Caenorhabditis elegans: one gene and its partners. The protein of the gene in region 3 purifies or fractionates together with the protein of the main gene of each other region. This does not show direct contact. Each region holds a gene or a part of one and is shown on either strand. Other genes may lie near its edges.

The links.
Region 1: the proteins of gcn-1 (region 3) and sftb-1 fractionate together in Caenorhabditis elegans (co-fractionation; one large-scale study listed by BioGRID). This does not show direct contact.
Region 2: the proteins of gcn-1 (region 3) and snr-1 fractionate together in Caenorhabditis elegans (co-fractionation; one large-scale study listed by BioGRID). This does not show direct contact.
Region 4: the proteins of gcn-1 (region 3) and T26E3.4 fractionate together in Caenorhabditis elegans (co-fractionation; one large-scale study listed by BioGRID). This does not show direct contact.

The regions. Positions count from the first base shown.
Region 1 is NC_003281.10:4,263,282-4,270,943, forward strand, and holds sftb-1 (Splicing factor 3B subunit 1 domain-containing protein), read right to left. Parts: upstream 5,990-7,662; 5' UTR 5,986-5,989; coding exon 5,842-5,985; intron 5,770-5,841; coding exon 5,490-5,769; intron 5,444-5,489; coding exon 4,781-5,443; intron 4,729-4,780; coding exon 3,985-4,728; intron 3,935-3,984; coding exon 3,847-3,934; intron 3,443-3,846; coding exon 3,208-3,442; intron 3,158-3,207; coding exon 2,888-3,157; intron 2,829-2,887; coding exon 1,893-2,828; intron 1,846-1,892; coding exon 1,417-1,845; intron 1,368-1,416; coding exon 1,302-1,367; intron 915-1,301; coding exon 801-914; 3' UTR 502-800; downstream 1-501. Other genes in the region: R10E4.1 (BTB domain-containing protein), read left to right, coding at 6,990-7,138, 7,347-7,662.
Region 2 is NC_003282.8:17,086,025-17,089,454, forward strand, and holds snr-1 (Small nuclear ribonucleoprotein Sm D3), read left to right. Parts: upstream 1-2,024; 5' UTR 2,025-2,034; coding exon 2,035-2,110; intron 2,111-2,160; coding exon 2,161-2,288; intron 2,289-2,339; coding exon 2,340-2,546; 3' UTR 2,547-2,826; downstream 2,827-3,430. Other genes in the region: snx-13 (Sorting nexin-13), read right to left, coding at 313-411, 463-704, 781-902, 951-1,152, 1,199-1,305; Y116A8C.43 (Lipoprotein), read left to right, coding at 2,827-2,997, 3,123-3,329, 3,381-3,430. UniProt on the Caenorhabditis elegans protein: Plays a role in pre-mRNA splicing as a core component of the spliceosomal U1, U2, U4 and U5 small nuclear ribonucleoproteins (snRNPs), the building blocks of the spliceosome.
Region 3 is NC_003281.10:2,150,365-2,154,962, forward strand, and holds the start of gcn-1 (TOG domain-containing protein), read left to right. Parts: upstream 1-1,580; 5' UTR 1,581-1,619; coding exon 1,620-1,679; intron 1,680-1,871; coding exon 1,872-2,075; intron 2,076-3,854; coding exon 3,855-4,598. Other genes in the region: frl-1 (GBD/FH3 domain-containing protein), read left to right, coding at 711-847.
Region 4 is NC_003279.8:12,663,416-12,669,393, reverse strand, and holds T26E3.4 (RWD domain-containing protein), read right to left. Parts: upstream 4,285-5,978; 5' UTR 4,275-4,284; coding exon 4,146-4,274; intron 3,964-4,145; coding exon 3,892-3,963; intron 3,316-3,891; coding exon 3,075-3,315; intron 2,287-3,074; coding exon 2,167-2,286; intron 1,534-2,166; coding exon 1,430-1,533; intron 717-1,429; coding exon 660-716; 3' UTR 501-659; downstream 1-500. Other genes in the region: T26E3.5 (F-box domain-containing protein), read left to right, coding at 5,671-5,756, 5,811-5,978.

The DNA of each region.
Region 1 (7,662 bases), 2.1 Mb from region 3:
AATATCGTAGCTGCATAATTTTCATAGATTTTGTTCAAATTTTAAGTATTTTAATATTTGTATGAGTAAATATATTTTTGAGATAAAATCGATGAAAATTCTGTGCAAACAAAAGTTTTTCGATTAGAAAAATAAAAATTGAAAGAAGATTATGAAAAATCGATGAAAATTCCGTAACAAAGAGATTCTTAAACTACAGTAATCCTTAAAGGCGCACACCATTTTTGCATTTAATACACATTTGTCGTTTCGAGACCAGCCACTGTACTGTTGCTGCAAAAAGCGCAAAATTTTCGTTTTTAAGGAACTAATATTGAAAGAATTTGTAAAATTTCTTTTTTAAAGATAATTTTGCCAAAAATAAAATTAGAAAATTATTTTTATATTTGGAGAGTATTAGGAAACTCTGATATTTTTTAAGGTATTTAAAAAATTTTTAAACGAGAAAAAATAAGCGAAATTTGACTTCAACAAAAAAAAAGGGATTTCTTTAAAACATTAAAATAATTTGACAAGTCTTCATTTTAAATATCTATCGCAAGAGTTGTTGTTGTTTTTTTTTTTGGGAATAAATTGATTGATATTGGAGAAAAGTAATAGAAAAACAAAAAAAAACCACTGACAACCAAAACAATTTTGTTAGATTAATCTAGATTCAAGAGAATATTTGGAGGGAAATGGGATTAAAATATAAAAGGTTTCGTTTTCTATGAAAATGTGATGAAAGGAGGGAGGGAACACGGAGATAGAAAAATAAGTTATCGAGATCCAAATAAAAAAAACAAAAATTAGAAAATTATTTAAAGATTATAATCAAGTTCGTAGCGGACATATTGATTTGTTGGGGTGTTCTCGATACGTGGATAGGCGGCAATAAGAGCATCTGCGGAGCCAAGAATTAGGTTGTTGAAGACCTGGAAATATTAATATGAAATTACATAAAAATTTAGCGCTTGTGGAAAAAACGTCTCAATATTCCGAATACAAATTTTAAAAAATTTATAGAAATTTTCTAATCTTTTTTTAAATTTTGCGGAAAATTTGAGAAGTACCAAAACATTTTTGAATTCCCGCGCAACCTGTATTTAATTTTTTCCTTTTTCAATTTTTCCGGTCGCTCACTTTTGGTCGAAAAAAAAGAAGATATTTCACAATAAAAATAAATTTTCTCTGAAAAATAAAAATTCAATTGAAAAAAATCATTAAAAAATTAGAAACATTCTATAAATATTTTAAAAGCTATATTCCGAATATTTCCACTATTTCTGTAATTGAAAATTCAAGGAAACTAAAATAATTACCTTCCACACTGGTTCTCGAACTTTTCTCGCTGGATGCCAAAGAGCTTGCAGGCAATATTGAAGAACCTGAAATGAATTTTAATTTTTGAAATTATTAAGAATTTAAAATAAAAACCTTAATAGGTCCCAACGAAACTCGCATTCCTTCACATGCAAACACCCATCGTTGAATAAGATGCGGTGAGTTTTCCAACATATTGGGCCACACATAATTCAATAAATGAATAAGTGCATCTTCACAACCAAATCCATAAACTCCAATAGCAAGATGAGCAACTGCGTCGACTGCAATCTGACGATGAACTTGATCTCTTTCCATTAATGCATCAATGAGCAGCGGAACAACTGCATAAATGTAGTCTTTTGCCATTTCTCCAATGTATTCGAACATGAATGAAAGAGCTTTTAAAACTCCGTTTTGTACATTAATTTCAGGTACACGATACTCGTTCATAATTGCTGGAAGTACTGTAAATGGGGCACAAGTTTCCGAAACAATGGCAATGGCGACTGTTGTACACACACGGAGCTGGCGTTCTTGGACCTGAAAAATAATTTATTTTAAAAGAATCACTTCTAATCCGAGCCTACCTTCAAATTATTGAGCAACGTTGCGAGAACATCATGTGGTCCGATAGCTTTTGCAATAAATCCAAATGTATTAATTGCAGCTCTTCGAATACTTTTCTTGTGAGCTTTAAGCAATTCGAGAAGCTCGAAACAGATTCTCATCCATTCTCTTGCAGATACAAATTCAGATCCTCTATCAGCGATTGCTCCCACCAAATCGATACAGTTCTCCTGCACTTTCTCGTGACGATTCTTCAAAATTGGTGTCAATCTTGGCAGCAAATCTTTGATTGGTGGAGTCATTTTGGTCATTCCAATAACATTGCAAATTGCTTTCAATGCACCGAGAATTGATCCAAGTACTTCTGGATATTCTTCTCCCAAATACTCATACAATACTACTCCCATGTGTCCCATCATTTTCTCCTCTTCACACATATGCATAACCGGTGCAATTCTGGCAATTAAATCAGCAGCTTGTTGACGAACTTTTGCAGATTTGTTGTTGAGACGCCACAGAATAGTACCACAGATTTGTGGGATATATGCCTTGGCACGTCGTCCAAGACTTGAGCAGATTGTTCCAAAACCATCAAGCATCACAGAATCTTCTTGAGTTTGTTCCTGGAAAGCATAAAGAAGACCATCAATCAGTTGTTCTTCAAGTCGAGCATCAATATCAGTCGCTCCTTGCAACGCTACAATATTCTCAATTGTTTCCATAACCATTTTTCTGTATTGCTCATTTTCATCCTTCAAATCATCAACAATTCGAGCAATCATCTCAACGCATCCGACTTTTTGAGCAATTTCCACAGTTGTATCAACCAATTGGCGATAGTTACGACGATCCATAGCCATTCTTTGATTCCAGAATGCTTTGAAGAAGCTTGGAAGTACTTCGTCTCGAATGTAACTCGCTTCTACTCCGTCTGTTGCACAACACTGCTTGACAACCTGCAAATTTAAATGTTAAACGATAGTTCTACGAATGTTTTGGTTATTATATCACTCACCTTTAAAACAATCTTTTTCATTTCCTCATCTGGCGATGCAAACTCGCGAATCAAAATGAGCATCACTTCTCTTGTATAATATGAAGCATATTCTGCGTCCATCAATGGAATCAGGTAACCAATAGCTTTAAGGAATGCAGCAAGACCTTTTCCACGATGCATACGAATACCTTTCCAAAGAGGTTTCAACACTGAATCGAAAGCTTCAATTCCGTATGGAGATGAAGCTTCGGCGAGAGCTGCCAAGCAGAGAGCAGTGATAGTTCGGACCTGAAACGATTTGCATCAATTCCAGAAACTTTAGAAATTAAAAAGAAAACCTTTTGCTGTTCATCATCCAATCCGCTTTCAACAATATCAACAAGTGCTTTCAAATGTGGTAATACTGCACAACCCATCAAAATGGCCATTTGTTGAACAATTTTAATACCCGTGTGCCGAGCCTGCCAACTTTTTTTACTTTTGCACACAGCTTTAAGGAATGGGAGGAGAGCTGGAATTCCGAGAGCTGAGGCGACGACAGCGAATGCACGAGCGGTTGTATTACGGACATATCTGCAAATTTTTGGGTTTGATTAAAAGCTTTGTGATGTTTTTTCTGCTTTAAATTCATTAAAACTGACCCGCAAATACCGAATTTCATAGTGAGATTTTTAAAAATCTAAAAAATACATTTTTAAAACTTTTTTTGAAAAAATTCGGTCTTTTCGGACTTTTTTAAATTAAAAACTAGTGTAAACCTATAGAAAATCACTTGATTAATCTGAAATTAACATTAATTTCAGCTGGAACGTTTCAGAAAGTTCTCAAAAATGGCCAAAAGTTGCCAGATTTTCTATAGTTTCAAACTAATTTTTAATATTTCTTCAATTTTTTTACTGTTTTCCAGGGAAAATTGAACAACCATATATTTGGTGTTTGTTTAATTGAAAAATCAACAAAACTGTCGACAAACTTACTCATCAACATTATCAATATCAGGCCTCATTGTAGAAATCATTGTTGCCAATCCAGCGGCCTTTGCAAGGTTGGAAATGATCTCACGACCTGAAAATATTTAATTTTTAAATTTTAAAATTTATTCTAAATTTTCAAACCTTCAACTCTTGCATAATAATCCTCATCGATAAGAAGTGGCTCAATGACGACAAGAATCTTATGCACATATGGTCTGACGAGATCATCCAATTTGTATAGAATTCGATCAATAACTTTTACCATCAAATGCCGTTCTTGATCCTCCAGCGATGGTGACATGAGAAGTGGAAGAATTTGATTGAAAAGTGGACCTGCTCCGTACTTTCGCGCGTTTTCTGTTATTTTTCTCAATCCGCTCTTTCTCATTGGCGGGGTTCCATTTTTGATTTTCAATAAATGCTCCATAATTTCCCGTTCATTTTTCTCTTCTTTCGTGAGTTGACTCTCATCTACATCCATCAACAACTTATCGAAATATTGCATATCATCTGGCTTTAGAGGTGGTAATTCTGCATTCTTAGGTTGAGTATCCACCAGACCACCGACTCCTTTCTCTCCGATTCCATCTCTATCTGGTGTTCCAGGCATAAAGAATCCTCCACCAGCAGCTCCACCCATTGGAGTTGGAGTGGCCATCAACTTCCGTGATGGTGTTCTCAGAGGAATGTAGTTCATTGGAGGAACCAGAACCTTGTAGCCAGGTGGGAATAGTGAATCGAGTTCTTCATCAGTCAATGGACGGTTTCTGTCATCAATTTCCTTCTCCCATCGGTAAATTTGCATTTGTTCAGGTGTCATTGGAATCATATGAGGAGCTGGTGTTTTCATTCCCATTGCTGCCGTTCCAATTGGAGTTGCTCCACCTGAATATATTTTATATTAATTTTATATTAATTACAATATTTTGTAATAAACCTGGAGTCATTGCTCCGATTGGAGTCTGTGAAGGGTGGCTCGGTGTGAATGATGGTGTCTGTAATCCGGAATGAAGTGGAGTAGCTGCTGCCACATTCGGAGTTTGTGATGGTGTCAGATCCCATCGTGAACGACGCTTCGATGCGGATGGAGTATCCTCAATCTTAACATCATCTGATCCTCCTCTAGCAGGAGTCTCCATTCCCCATCCCGGTGTCATTGATCCATCATTGAGATTCTCTTTTGGAGTTTCATCCCAACGATTTCTTCTCGGGGTCTGTGCTGCCGGAGTCGTTGACCATTTATCCACAGAAGGAGTTGCATCAGCTGCTCCAGTCGAGTGAGCCGGTGTTTCATCCCATCTAGCAGCTCTTGGTGTTGCTGCATCTGCACTAATCTTCGAAAATCCTAATCTTTTTCGTGGAGCAGAACCCTGAGATGGAGTTGCAGAAGCTGCACCAAGATTATCAGAAGATGCATCAGTTGATGGAGCTTCAGCATCCCATCTTCCTTTCTTTTTCTCTGGCTGTCCAGTAACATGAAGCTCTCCAGCTTTTGCTCGATCGGCAAGCTCCCGTTCAACACGCCCTTTCTCTTCATGGTACATCTGATCACGCATAACTTCTGCGTAACCTCGATTCCGATTGTCAGGAGTTTGATCAACTGAAAGAATAAATTTAATTAAAGTCAAAATGATTTTCGATCTTACCAAAAGCATCCGCTCTGTCTGGAGAGATCTGTCTCCTCATAGCTCTTTCGTGATACTTGGATTGTCGTTCTGCGATGGTTTTTGTGCGAGTATCTGCGAATGGATCAGTGTCCTCGGAGGCAGCAGCCACCTCTTCGATGAATTTGTGTGGCTGTGCATAATTTGTACTTTTCTTTTGTACACTCGGCATCGAATCCTCATCGACGTCATCTTCTTCTCCGGTTCCAATCGAGTCTAGGTAACTATCCCGATTTTCACCACGAACACTTCCGTAAACATCCTGAAATTGAAAAGATTCAAAAAGTAATAGAGAATTTTCAAATTTTCAAATAAAGTATTAGAATTCACTAACCGTGTCGAAATTACCAGCGGCTCCGAAGGCCACTTTATTTCCGTTTCCCTTATTCTCATCGTTGTCTTCGGCTGCCGCGGCACGCTGGTTTGCGACCCTTTTGCGGTTCAACTCCTGCGCATAAGCCTCGCCTGAACGAGACATCGATCTACAATCAATATTGATTATATGGAAGAAAGATTAAAGTTGGAAGGAAAAAAACTTTTTTTAGAAAAGATTTAGAAAACAACATCCTAAACTTCGATAGCTTGCGCGAAACCATTTTCAAATTGTAATAAACAATTGCAAAAATTTATTAATGAAATCACTAAAAAGAAATGGAAACCATAATCCTTTTACAATGAACAATATTCAAAGAAATACACTCAAGAAACTAAAATATTAATACCCTTGAAAAATAATGGATTATCTTACGAATTTTTATGAACATCAGACAGACAACAATATTTAAAGTTTTTCTGTTGTTTTTTTTTAAATAATTTAAAAGTTTTTAAACGTAAAATAACTGAAAACTGTCCCTTAAAAGGCGAAAATTGCATTCGAAATTTTGCACGAGAATCGCGTCAATGCACCGGTCGCGCGCCAACAGCACCTGCTGGCGCGCTCTCCGATCAGTGGAGGAAGATCGAAGATTGTGTTCACTTCAAGAGTTTTGACATTTCATTTGGAATATGGTGAGTTGCTCGTTTTAGTAGGTCTTTTCTGTTTTTTGTTGTTTTTTAGTGTTTCTTTCGACGTATATCGACTTTATAAGCAAATTTCCAATAAAATTGTGAACTTTTTTAAAAATTAATTTTTTTTCACCAACATTGTGGCCACTTTAAAATTGAAGCATAACTAAAATGTTCTTATTTTTAAATTTTTATTTAAAATAAAAGCTTTCTTATTTTTTTAAGTGGTTTTATCATGTTTTTGCTTTCTCGTTCTTATAGAGAGAGAGAGAGAGAGAAGAGACGCAGAATACTGGGGCAGCATATAGCATGTGTGTTGTTTAGATGTCTCCTTGCCCCTACAACCCTTTTCTATCGATTTCCCCGTTTTTTTCGGTCTGCCACGTGCTTCTTTTTCAGTTCATGCCTTTTCTCCTTTTATGAGATTCTTTTTTCCCCAACAAAATCTTATCGAAAATTTCAGGGTAAAGTCTGAAAATGGCTCCGAACAAGGCTGCCGCTGAAGAGTATCCAGTGGATATTGTGGATTTAAGTGATGATTTTAAGAGTAGCAAGACTCTTGATTTGGTCCTAGACGAGGAGCACAAAGTCTACAGATATTGGATTCATTTGAAGTGTATGAAATGGTCAGTTTTACTTCTAAACGATAAATTGTTCACTTTTCTGGAAAAAACGCTGAATTTTGGCTTTATGGTTAAAAAAAAACATAATTTTTAAGAAGTTGAAACTACAGTACTCTTTATTGTCGTTTCGAGAAACCGTATTTTTGCACGGAAATCGATCAACGTTGCTTCTGAGAAATAATATAATCCCATAACAAAACTGAATTGTCAGGCAAATTGAGTTGCGTGCAAATTCCTTCGAATGCTTTGCTGCTTACTTCAAAACTCCAGCCACCTGGTCAGCGGAAGTTGAATTCGAAATTCGGGCTCACGTTACAAACTCTGTGAGAAGCGAAAAGTTTACTGGACGATATACAGGATCCAATCATGTCTACTTTCGTCCATTGAAGCTTCAAGATCATATGGTTCGAGAGAAGCTGAGAAGTATGAGAGTAGAAATCACAGTGAATGTCATTAAAACTATGAACTTCGGAATGCTCTACGACTATTTTGATGTTCTACCAGAAGAAGAGAATGCTTTGTTGAAA
Region 2 (3,430 bases), on a different chromosome or scaffold from region 3:
TTTTCAACAAAAAATCAATAAAAAATTATTTTTTCTATAATTTTTTTTATTATTTTAGGCAGAATTAAATTTAAAACGCAAAAAACCGTGAAATCCTGCTAGAAAATACGTTTTTCATGCTTGTCCACGAGTATACTCGTGGCTCGCAAATCTACACATCTTTTAAAGGGACATTGACTTTTTTTTCAGAAAAAAATTAAATTTTCCATCAAATTTCGGTCATTTTTTGTCTTTTTAGAAGAAAATTCGATTTAAAAATTGATTTTATTTTTTCAATTTTTCTCAATTTCCTGAATATCTTCCGACACTGACCAACAACTTCTCGAAGCAAGAATCTCAGCGGCCGACATCTAAAATCTTCCGGTGGCATTATTAAATAGAGAATTATATCGACAAGATCATGAAGATAGGCTGAAAAATCGGAAAAAATTGAATTTTTTCATCGAAAATCTCAATTTTTACCATTTTCATAATGCGGTGTAGTTGAAAGAAGATCTCTACACAACGATTTTTCCATTTCCAGCTCAAAATCAAAGAAATTGCTGAGCAATTCCGCTTCCAAATCTTCAGGGGATAATGTTTTATCTTTTTCCTTCGCTTGAAATGCAGTTCTTTCCTTAGCTTTCCGGAAAAGCCGTAAATGAGAAGCAAAATCGTCGACAACGTCACGCGTGAGCAATGGAACCCAATCAACCTGGCGGAGACTGGAAATTTGAGATTTTATTGATTTTTTTCCATTTTTTGTTTTATAAAATAAAATTTTATTAATGAGCTACACACCATTGTGTCAATGAGGCAATTGATCTTCGGGAGGTTCTCTTTAAGCTTTGTTCAAAAATATTATCATTTGAAAGTGTTTTATACCAAAAGCCGACGTAATCCCGTGTTATATTGCCGAGAATCTAAAAAAAAATATTTTTAATAACATTTCAGTCCACATAAATCCCTACTTGTTCTAAAACCAAATCTAATTGCGGTGAATTGCACATTGAATGCACCTCCACATATTGATTTTGCTCTTTGAGTCGTTTTCCATTTTTCAGCAGAGCCTCAATTCCCGCAGATAATTTTCCTTTTTGCAGATTTTCGGATAAAATTCCAGCGATTTCGTCATGTTTTTCGTGTCCCGTTTGATAGAAAATGTAGAGAAATCTGAAGGTATTCCAGTTTAAGGTTTTTCTAAAGAATTAAAGCTTACCCCGCTACGAAACAGAGGATACTGGCTGGAAGAACGATTAGACCGGTTGAACCGAATGTTGCTAGGAAAAGGACTACAGCAAGGAGAATATAAAGCCGATTTGACATTTTTCTAGAGAATTTTCCGATTTTTCTTCATATTTTACATAAAATTATGGAAATTCATCTGTAAAATCTGGTAAATAATTAAAAAATTCTATGCGCATTCCGTAAAACTAGTATCTCGGGGACAAGGGAACGTGAGATTTGAAATAGTTTCTGGCAGCTTTACAAATGAAAATTGCTGTATTTTTTTAGTATTTATAATTGATTAAGAATAATATAATAGTTTTCATTTAATTAAATATTTAAATTTGCATTTTACATAAATGCTAGTCTCCAATTTCGGCGTTCTTGCGTCTCCGGGAAGTTAACTTCATGAGGCCCTTCCCGCAAACGCGCCCCACTGCACACGCTGCGTGCTGCGTCGCGTGCCTTATTTTCGAATTTTATTCCCTTCATTTTTCATTTTGAGCTCTTCATTTTTCGTAATTTTTAGAAAGAAAAACCGTTTTATTTCTAGATTTTCTTCAAAATAAAGTTCTAAAACACATTTTTCTCATCTGGAAATCCATTTGTTGCCACATTTTTCTTGCAACGCGTGCAAATTCTAGAATTTTCCGAAAAAACTTCATTTTCGGGGTTTTATTCCTTTTTTGTCTATTATGCTCAGCATATTTCAAATGAGAACAAACTTTACCGTGAAAAGTGTGAAAATCTGAAATTTTAGGCGATTCTACTTCTTTTTTCTAACGTTTTCTCCCTTCAAGCCGAATCTACAGAATCAAAATTTTCAGAATGACTTCAGTTGGTGTCCCAATCAAGATTCTTCATGAGGCCGAAGGTCACATGGTCACGCTCGAAACCGTTACAGGTAATCATTTTCGAATTTCCCGTCGCTCAATAAATACTTTTCTATTCCAGGCGAAGTTTACCGAGGAAAACTTTCTGAAGCCGAAGACAACATGAACTGTCAGCTGGCTGAAACCGTTGTGACTTTCCGCGACGGAAGAAGTCATCAATTGGACAACGTTTTCATTCGCGGAAACAAGGTTTTTCACCATTTTTCTCTAAATTTCAGCTGTAAACCAATCAATTTCCAGATCCGATTCATGATTCTGCCGGATATGCTCAAAAACGCGCCAATGTTCAAAAATATCGGAAGAGCCCAGAAAGGAGCCATTGGAATGGGTTTGGGAGGTCTCGATCAGCGTGGAAGAGGACGTGGAACCGCTTTCCGTCGACCAATGGGCCGTGGAGGACCACGTGGAATGTCTCGCCCGGGAGGAGCTCCAACGTTCCGTGGATAAGCACAACACGGCGCAAATATAATCAATTCTCTGTATTTTTTCTCTCTCTCGAGTCCCCCATTCTTCCAGTTTCTCTTCTTTTCAAAGCGTGCGCAGACCGTTGAATTTGACGTGATCTCCTGCTTGTCCCGGCTCCGCACTTTGTTATTTGTTGAATCATACTTCATTTTTCATAAATTATTTTCCAGAAAAAAGACGACGACAAACTGGTTTCGGAGATTTCCCTGTAAGATTACCACAATTCCAAAGTGTGGTATTCGCCTAGAATATAACTGGCGAAATGGTAAATCATTCGCCAGTCGTCTTCTTTTTGTTCTCCTTATTCTTTTATTCGCATTTAAATGGAGCATTCGATGATGCAGAGCATTTTCCAAAAGGGATAGAGGATAGAGCCAAACTTTTGGCACGGGCAGACCAGTGTGTGCTAAAATATTTAGAGTTTACCGGCAAAGTGAGTAATTTTTCGCAAAAAATTGAGCGAAAAACTTGAAAATCCACGTTTTTTTTCGAGCCGCTCCGCTTGCTATTGCGTCGCGGTCGCGAATATTCTGTTATTTTTTTTATTTCTCTGTTCAGAAGCTTTCACATCTGCCGTACACTGTAAAACGATGTGCTCTCTCGGAATATTTCACTTGGGAAGAGTCTGGAACATTTTTTCCGTTTCAAAAATGCAATAATTTCGTGTTTTTCGGGGGAAATTCCCTCCAAATATTGAATAATACCGATTTTAAGATGCTCAATTGCAAATATTTGATTATCGATTCGAGGGAGAACCTCCGTGGAGTTTGTAGTTTATAGTCGAAGAAATGAACTTTTAAATTCTGAAATTTTCAGCTTGAAAATTATAAAAAAGTAGATGATCTTTCAAAATCACAACTAAACAA
Region 3 (4,598 bases):
AACGGATTTTTTTCGTTTTTCTCAATTTTTGGATCATTTTTCGCCGATTTTTAATGCCAAAATCGGATTCCCCGACACTTTTTACCCATATCTGATGTTTTTTTCGTCGAATTTCGAGCATTTCTGCATTTTGTCGTAGGCTCTGCGGTGTTTGCGTACTTTTGGAACTACCGTACCCCTCGAAATTCAAATTTTGAGCTAAGAACCCGGAAAACAAGTTTTAAGGCGTAAAAATAAGTGGGAAATTCGAATTTGATAATAAAAATTTGAAATTTCGACTGGAACGGTCTGAAATTTTAGTGTTTTGGACGAAAATTCATTTTTCAAAACAAATCACTGATTTTTGGGGTTTTTAATAAAAAATTCGAATTCCCCGCCACTTTTTACCCATATTTGACGTTTTTTTCGTCGAATTTCGAGCATTTCTGCATTTTGTCGTAGGCTCTGCGGTGTTTGCGTACTTTTGGAGCTACCGTACCCCGCGAAATTTAAATTTTGAGCTAAGAGCCCGGAAAACATGTTTTAAAGGGTAAAATTAGGCGGGAAATTCGAATTTGATGATAAAAATTTGAAATTTCGACTAGAAAAGTCTGAAAATTAAAAAAAAATTTCGAAAAAAAAAATTTTTTTTTTTCAAAAAAAAAATTTTTAATTTTAAATTTTTTTTAAAAATTCTTTTTAACATATTTCCAAAATTTCCAAATTTCCAGGTCTCAAACACACGGGCGGCACCACTCCGAATCGCCGAAAAATGTCAAAATCGCCGTCTCCAGCGCCACGTGGCTCCGCACCACCGCCAGTTGCTCCAAAAACTCGAGTCGTCAGTGTTGAAAGGGATCGACAATAAATTTGATCGATTTTCCCATTTATTTTCTCGTGTAAAATATGAAAATTTCTAGTTTTCCCCGTTTTTTCCCATTTTTTCTAACAAAAAATTCAAATTTCCCCCCTTTCCACGTGTGTTACGGGCATTTTTCACACTTTTTCTCTGCATTTTTGCCGTTTTTCCCCTTTTTTTTCCCCCGTGATTATTTGAATTTTTGAATTTTTTCGCTTTTTTGTGCGGAAAATTATTTTTTTTCTACTTTTTTCCTTGGTTTCCCCCCTTAAACCGGTTACAATACGCGATATTATTGTTTTTCTTTTTTTAAAAATGATTTTTTAATGAATAAATTTGATTTGTTTGAAAAATGTTTGAAAAAATTGCAAAAGAAAGTGTTCTGCGTAAAAATAAATTAAAAATAAAGAAAATTCAAAAAAATGGAGAAAATTCGAATTCAAACACCCGCGCAAATGAGGTACGTGATTTTGCGTGCGCGTGTCTGCGGACCGGGCATTTAATCTTACGGCACTTGGTGTTTTCCAACGCTGAAAATGATTTAATTATTTGTTTTAAGCCTAAATTTCTTAATTTTCAGCCGTTTTTCTCGATTTTTTCGATTTATAACCTAAAATTCATGAATTTTCGATCTTTTCAAGCCATAAAATGCTAAAATCCATCACAAAATCGAGTTGAAATCGACTTTTTTAGGCGGAAATTTCAGATTTTCGATTTTCAAGCAATTTCACCCGATTTTCAGATCATTCAACGACGGGTTACACTTTATTGATAGTGGAAAATGTCTGACGATGAAATAAAAAGCGAACATGTTCAGGAGAAGACGGAAAATCTGAGCGAGGTTCGGTTTTGAGGCCTAAAATTCGATTTTCGGCTTGGAAAGGCTTGCAAAAGCTTGAAAAAGCTTAGAAACTTGCATCCAGATGTGAATTTCATTGAAAAATCCAGAAAAATTTCCAAAAAATCGCGAAAAAACGCGAAAAAACAGTGAAAATACCAGAAATGTCCCAAAAACTCTATTTTTTAATTCCAGGAGGACGCATTAAAGGAAGAAATCCGCCGTTTTTCGTCGGCAGTTTCGAATCCAAGCCTTCGGGCTCATGGAATGGCCTACGCCGCTCTGACGAAGCTCATCGAGCGCCGCTCAACGGAAATTCCGGCTCAATTTGTGAAGGGGCTCGTCAAAATGAGCATTGCCAACTCGATTCGGCTCTATGGACAGCCAAAATCCTTTCAGGTAGCGGAAGAAAGCTGGAAAGTGTCGAAAAAACGAAGAAAATTAGCCTAAAATTGGACTTTTTCGTGACAATTGTGCAAAATTTCGCAATTTTTCACCTGAAAATTGCTATTTCTGCAGAAAAATTCTCAAAACTTGCAGATTTTCCTCTATCTTCGTCGAAAAACTCCACATTTTTCACGATTTTCACCTGAAATACTGATAAAATCTCGATTTTTCACAAAATTCCCGGATTTCCATTCAAAAAGTTGGATTTTTCTGGTTATTTACCAGAAAAATCCGAGAAATTGTCAAGTTTTTATCATTTTTAGTTCAAAACCCTGGAAATTTTTACGAAAATTCAAGATTTTTCTCTTTTTTCAACGGAAAAATCAGATAATATAAGATTTTTTTCCCGAAAAAACCCGGATTTTTCACACAATTTCACCTGAAAATCGACGAAAATCCTTTAAAAAATTCTGAATATCCATTCAAAAAGTTGGAATTTTTCGATTTTTTTCCGGAAAAAGTCCGGAAAATTGCAAATTTTTAAGACACAATGCGGAATTTTTTCGAAAAACGGTCTGAAATTCGCATTTTTTCACAATTTTCCCGAAAAATTGGGCTTTTCTTTCAAATTTCAGTAAAAAATTCCGGTTTTTTCGCCCGAAAATCCCCATAAATCCCTGAAATTTCTGGATTTCGATCCAAAAAACCGGAGTTTTCGCTTTTTTTGCCGAAAAATCCGTCAAAATTGTTCAATTCTCCATGAAAATTTCGAATTTTTGGATAAAAATCGGAATTTTTACGAAAAACGCTGGGAAATCTCACAAATTCCACTGGAAAATTGACGAAAATCCTCAAAATTCCCGTGTTTCTATTCAAAAAAGTCCGAATTTTTCGCTTTTTTTGCCGAAAAAGTCCGGTAAATTGCCAATTTTTACGAAAAACAGTCAAAAATTCGCAATTTTTCCGCAAAAATTAAGCTTTTCCATGAAATTTCAGACGAAAATTCCAGATTTTTCGCATTTTTCCACGAAAAATCGACCAAAATCCTCGAAATTTCCGGATTTTCATTCAAAAAGTTGGAATTTTTCAAACTTTTTACAGAAAAAGTCTTGAAAATTGCCAATTTTTACGAAAAACAGTCAAAAATTCGAGATTTTCCTCATTTTTCAACTAAAAAACCCGGATTTCTCACAAATCCCACCGGAAAGTCGGCGAAAATCCTCGAAATTTCTGGATTTCCATTCAAAAAAGTGGAAATTTTTCGCTTTTTTTGCCGAAAAACCCGTCAAAATTTCAAATTGTTTGAATGAAATCGGAATTTTTTTACGAAAAACAGTAAAAATTCGCATTTTTTCACATTTTTCCTCTGAAATTTGAGCTTTTCTATGAAATTTTAACCGAAAATTCCCGATTTTTCGCTTTTTTTTTACCTGAAAATCCCCATAAATTACTGAAATTTCCGATTTTTCACGAAAAATTTGCTGAAAATCGACGAAAATCGTCGAAATTTCTGGATTTCCAATTTAAAAAAGTCGGAATTTTCCAAATTTTTTGAATGTAAATCGGAATTTTCAATAAAAACAGTGAAAATTCGCATTTTTAAACATTTTTTTTCCGGAAAATTACCTGGATTTTTTTCACGAAAACCCGTCGAAAATTCACATTTTCTCTGCGAAAATTGAGCTTTTCCATGAAATTTCAGCCAAAAATTCCAGATTTTTCGGTTTTTTCAACCGAAAATCCTCATAAATCACTGAAATTTCCAATTTTTCAACAAAAATTTCCTTCCAGGCCGTCTCAAAATTGCTCCAAGTGCTCGCCAAACGTGATCCCATCTCCACACTCAAATCACTGCTCCAAACAATCACCACGGCTCTTCCAATCATCCCAAATCTCACGGAATCCCATAGTCTCTCACAAGTTCCAACGATGAAATGGCTTTTGGCCTGTTTGGATGGAAATTCCTGCGCTGAAAATGCTGTGGAAATCTTTGGAGCTCTCGGAGCAATCGCCTATTGGATGTCTGCTAGTGATAAAGCTTGGCGTGTTTTCACAAAGAAGCTGGCTCAGCTTTTCGCGAAAAATCCCGAGATTTCCAATGTTTTCACCGCAAAAATCGGGGAATTTTCAAAGGAAAATCCCGAGAAATCGTTGGCTCTGATCTCGGCTTTTGGTGCTCTTGGAGCCGCGAAAACTCCTGAAATTGCTCCAATTTTCGTCGAAATTTTCACAAAATCCCAGCTTCTCCCAAAGCTCCGACCACCGCAATTTTTCGTCACGAGAATCTCGAAATTCGCGGTTTTTCTCCAAAAATCGCCGGATTTTGAGACGAATTTGCTGCCAAATATGAAAAAAGCACTGCTCCGGAGCCCTGAAGTCGCGATTTTCGGAATCCGTGGGCTCTTGGAGCACATCAGCTTCTCGCTCGACTTTTGTGCTCAGGATTTGCTCAAATCTACGATTTCCTCGCTTTGTAACACGGATCCGGAGATTCGTGAAGCTGGAATCGGGATTGTGGTGGCTTTAAGCCGAAAA
Region 4 (5,978 bases), on a different chromosome or scaffold from region 3:
ATCGATTTTTTCGGCTGAAAATTGGATTTTTTCACATTTTTGAACCTTTTTTAAGTGAAAAAATTATTAAGTGAATAATTTTTGAATTTATTAATCAAAAATCGGATTTTAAATAATTATTCAATGGAAAAAATTGAATTTTAATTTAAAAGTTAGAGTTTTGAACAGTTTTCAACGGAAAAAAAAACTGAATTTGAGTTGGAAAATAGACATTTTTAGGAAATTTGAGTAGAAAAATTGAATAAAAATTCCAAAAAATGGCAATTTTGAACATTTTTCTAGCGGAAAATGAAATTTCAAGCTAAAAATCGCATTTTTTGCGATTTTTACAAAAAAAACCTTCAAAACACCAAATTTCCGCTGAAAATTGAGTAAAAATGAGTCACAAAACTCTCCAAAAAAGTTTGATAAAAACTGATGACTCATCGCCAAAAATTTTCAATAAAAAATCGATAAAAAAGCTGATAAAAACAGCGAAAAATTCAAAAAAAAAGGTTAAAACTAAAACAAATCTTTACGCAAAAAAATGGAAAAAATTGAAACGAAAAACCGTGAAAATCAACAAAAACTGGGGGGCAAAAAAATGGATAAATTACGGGATTTTTCGCCGAAAAAATGGCGAAAAATCACAGAAAAATGCAATAAATTGAGGGGAAATCCTATTCTTCATCGTCTTCTTCTTCTTCTTCGGAATCCATTTCAAGACCTTCGAGTTCCTGGAAAAAATGGGTTTTTTTGAGTGGAAATTTGAGATTTTTTGGGGTTTTTTAGGCTAAAAAATGGGATTTTTGGAGGTTTTTTATGTTGAAAATCGGAAAATTTGATCATTTTAGGCAGTAAAATCGAATTTTCATCTTGAAATTAATCAATTTTATGAGAAAAACTCGAAATTTCGAACAATTTTTGGAATAAAATTGCAATTTTTCGCGTTTTCAAGTAGCTTTTCACTGAAAAATGTGGGAATTTTGGCGTTTTTTCCATAGAAAATCGGAATTTTAGTGAGAAAATTTCAATTTTTTGATAGAAAATATGAAGTTTATCACAAAAAATTCACTTTTAAAGTGGAAAATCGTGAATTTTCAGCCAAAAATGCCAAATTTTGTAAATTTTGAAGCTTTTTCTTCGGAAAAATCCAGATTTTTTGCATTTTTTTTAGCTCAAAAACAGAGTTTTCCATGGAAAAATAAATTTTGAGTAAAAAATGTCTAATTTTTCAGTGAAAAAATGGGGATTTTAGCGAATTTTTACATTTTTCCAGGTTTTAAAAGGGAACGTTTCAAAAAAGAAAAAAAAATTTTCGGATTTTCACCGAAAAAAACTCGAAAATCGACAATTTCCAATGAATTTGCATGTTTTTCATGCAATTTTTTAATAGAAAATCGTAAATTTTCAGTAAAAAATCGATTTTTCAGTGGTTTTTTCCAGAAACCTCATTATCAAAGAGGCTCTCATCAATTTCGACTTCATCTTGTGCTCCAATAAGTGTGACGTCAGAGAGATTGAGTGTAGCGTCACGAAGGAATAGTTGACGTCCTGGAAAATATTGGTTTTTTTTGAAATTTTCAGCGATTTTCAGACGGAAAATCACATTTTTTGTGAGATTTGGAGCCAGAAAATGGGATTTAAATGAATTTTTCGCCTGAAAAAGTTCAAAATTTCGATAATTTTGGCGTAGAAAATCGCAAGAATCGGGATTTTTATGATTTTTTCCACTAAAAAGACGGAAAATAGCATTTTTTCGGGATATTGCGAGTTTTTTTGTGAATTTTTCTGAAAAAATGGGGATTTTCCGATAATTTTAACTGCAATTTTCTTCAATTTTCCAATTTTCCGGTTAAAAATCTCTGGTTTTTTACGTTTTTTCGGTTGAAAATTGCACTTTTTAACCATTTTCATGCGTAAAATAGCCTTTTTCTTTGATTTTTAACTGAAAATCTCGAATTTTTTGCATGAAAACCGCCAATTTTTACGTTTTTCCAGGCGGCAACTTGCAATTTTTGGGGTTTTCCGCCCTAAAATCCTCATTTTTCCGCCATTTTCCATGTTAAAAATCGCGATTTTTACAGGTTTTCACTGAAAAATCGCAATTTTCAACGTTTTTCATGGAAAAACTGCGATTTTCTTCAATTTTCCGGCTCTAAAATGCTCAATTTCACAGCTTTTCACCTGTTAATCGTCCAGCCAACGATGCCAATCGTTCTTTTTCAGCTGCATCAATTTCAGCTTTCCGTTCCTCATCAAATCTGTCCTTCCAGGCTCGGAATGTGTCCGGTGTCACTACAGTACCTGGAAAATTTGGAGATTTTTGGCCATTTTATAACATTTTCTTGAGTTTTTGAGACATTTGTTCAGATTTTTCAAGGCTTTTAGGACATTTTTCAAAAAATTCGAGCAATTTTGAGTGCTTTTGGAGCATTTTTCTCGAATTTTTTGTACTTTTATAGCCAATTTCGCGAAATTTTGTGGAATTTCAACATTTTAAGCACTTTTCCCTATGAATTTTAGGTCTTACAGCGAAAAATTTAGATTTTTACAAATTTTTCCGTATAAAATCGTAAAATTCGAAGATTTTTCACAAATTTTCACCGATTTTTGTAAATTTTCGGCATTTTCTGGTATTTTCAGCTGTTTTTGCGCAATTTTCCCGCTAATTACATGAAATTCGGTGATTTTTGGCCGTTTGGGCGCGTTTTCAGCCCATTTTTGCCGAATTTTCGGCACTTTCATGCTATTTTTGATGAATTTCAGCTCAAAATTCGTTTTTTAGCGATTTCGATGAAGAAAATCGTGAATTTTCCTATAAAAATTTAAAAATTTCACTGAAAATCGGTGATTTTTCGAGTTTTAAGCGGTTTTGAACGTATTTATATGAATTCCGCTGTTTTTCGACAATTTTCAGCAAATTTTAGCGGATTCTAGACGAAAAAATTGAATTCTGTGGGGAATTTAAGCTGAAAATCACTTTTTTTGCAATTTTTCAGGGATTTTTTCCTGTTTTTGGGGATTTTCAGTGTCTTTTGATCAATTTTTGTCCATTTTTCTCCGATTTTTACAGATTTTCAACCATTTTTTACCCTCAAATTTCTTGCGGCTCTCGGCTTCTTTTTTCTCTTTCTCAATTTCGACTTTTTCCTCTTTTGCACGTTTTTTCACATCAACAAGCTCTCCAATTTCATCTTGAAGTGCTGAAACAATTGCAAAAACCATAACCATTCCGAGATTTTCTTCGGCAACAGAACGTAATTTATCGATTGATTCGGCGATTCGTTCGGCTGTGAATGCATCTTCAATTCCATTCAGAGTTATTATTGGAATCTGGAAAAAATTGGGGATTTTTAGGGCAAAAATGGCTTGAAAATGAGGATTCTGATGGGGAAAATCTGAAAAAAAAACAGGGAAAATTGAGATTTTCAGCAATTTTCAGCCTAACAATGGCTTGAACTCATGGTTTTTAGAGCAAAATTGGCTTAAAATTAGACATTTTCAGCAAATTTCTGAAAAATAGGTTACTTTTGGGCGTTTTTAGCCATTTTTAGCACAAAAAATCGACAAATCGGATTTTCGGCTGATTTCAGAGAATTTAACCGGTATTTTTGCTTTTACTGATTGCAATTAGTGAAAACCGTCAATTCTTATCCTTAAAAATGTTCCTAGTGATTTTTTCCTAAAATTTCTCCTAATGATTTTTCTGTATTTTTCAAGCAATTTTGGTGGTTTTCTACTCTTTTGAATAATTTACGAGATTTTCCAGCTTTTTCCAGTCTAAAATCGCATTTTCTCAGATTTTGCCGGTCATTTTAATCGGTTTTTCTATTTTTTTTCCAGTAAAATTCAGTTTTTCAGATTTTCCTCTTGAAAATCGATTTTTCGGAGCTTTTTCCTGGATTTTACCTCATCTGGATAATTTTCGGTAAATTCGATGCCTAATTCCACGTCGAAATCGTCGTCCGTTGGGTCTTCGTACTGAAAAACGGGAAAAATTGAGTTTTTTGATAAAATTAGGCTAAAAATTGAAATTTTGCCGTAAATTTTTGGGGTAGTTTTCGACGGAAATCTCGATTTTTCTATTTAAATCAAGCGAAAATCACAGTTTAACCCGTTGAAATCAAAGAGTTCTCGAAAAAATCACAATTTTCATGACAAACCTGATTTGACTTGAGCTGAATCGATAGTTCAATGTTCGGATAATCCCGGCTTGCCACGTGAATTTCTTCTTCCGAATAAATCGCTTCGAGAGCCTCGATTTCTTGCTCTTGTTGCTCCTGATGCGACATTTCTCGGCTTTCACGCGAGAAAAATCCAGTTTGTTGGAATGCTCGTAAAGTCTGGTGTAAAGTACGCAAGTGCGCGCCGCCGTGTTTGCGGACTTTAAATTGGCGCCGATTTGAATCGCAGTTTTTCGATCGAGGAGTTATAACTCGGAAATTGATGATATTTTTACGATTTGCAGAACCAAATCGATTTCGAAATAGGGGTAATGATAGAGTTTCAATGAAAGTCGATAAATTACCATTTTCCCTGCAAAAAAACGGAAATATAATCCGCTGAAAATAGCTGAAGATGCTGTTTTGACAGAATAAATATCGAAAAAAAATATTGTGAGCTTTTGGGATACTCGAAAATTTGAGACCTTACAGAAAGGCGATGTATAGCAAAAACTAAGAGTGCTATCAAAATTTTGTTAACTAACGAAATGGTCCTCAGACTATGGCAATCATTTTGTTAGTTGAAAGTTTTTAGATTGCAGTTATGGTGACAAAGTTAGATTCGCTTAAACTTTTGATGTTTCACGACACTGTACATTTTGAGGTACAACTGTTAAGCAGATGTATCTCAAAAACTAAGAGTGCTATTAAAACTTATTCAATTAACAAAATGATCCTCAAACTATGTAACATATCAAATTGGTTGAAATTTGTTGATTGCATTAACGGTAAAAAAGTTACATCTGTTCAAACTTAACATGTTCTGCGACACTCTAAATTTTGAAGTATAATGGTTAAAGCGGTGTATCTCAAAAATTAAGTGATATCAAAAAATTGTCCAGCAGTCTCTAATAGTACGTAATTCGCACAGAGCCCGGGAATTGTGTAGCATGCTGGGCTCTGCGGCTCTTTTCTCGGCGCATCTGAAAATTCCATTTTTAGTGCTTTAGAAAGAAAGAGTGTGCAAATGATTATACTAGTTGAAAAGCTGGAGCAATAAGCTTTTCATAAAAAATATAATTTGGAAAAAAGTGTACAGATCATTCCATACTACTCGAAATGCGCCGAGAGCCAAATGATTCGGCTCTCGGCTCTCGGCTCTTTGGTTCAAGGCGTATGTATATCTACAACTATCTATATCTATATGTCTATATATATGTATATATGTGTATATCTATATGTATAAGTATATCTATATCTACAACCACTTTGTTTAAAATTTAATTTTTCTAATGATAAGCTTATTGCTCCAGCTATTTAACTAGTATAATCATTCGCAAACTCTTTCTCGCTAAAACACTGAAAGATGCACCGAGAAAAGAGCCGCACAGTTCAGGTGGCATGTCGCAGAAACGCTGGCAATATCTGAAAACCCTGGATCGATATTCCAATATTCCAATACATAGAGCGTCTTACCATTCCATCCAGCCACCTCTGTTCATTTCGTTATTATCTACGTCAACAAATGACTTCTCTTGTGCCTTTCCCTATCTGTAAACTCCCATCAACCGCACTCACCGCTGTAACGGATCACATGAACATTTTAGAAATGTAAGTTATTTTTGTAATAGTATCTAGCTATATATTTAATTGTTATATTTTCAGTTTTTCCCTTCTTGCCACTTCACAAAACTCAAACCACCTCGTTTCCAAGTCCATCAGAGCTTTTACAATGTTGAAGAGAGCCTCAAGAAAGGATTACTTCACTGCTTCGATTATTGCCTGTGAAGATCTTATCGAAATCATTCTAAGTTTTCAAGGATACCAACTCCC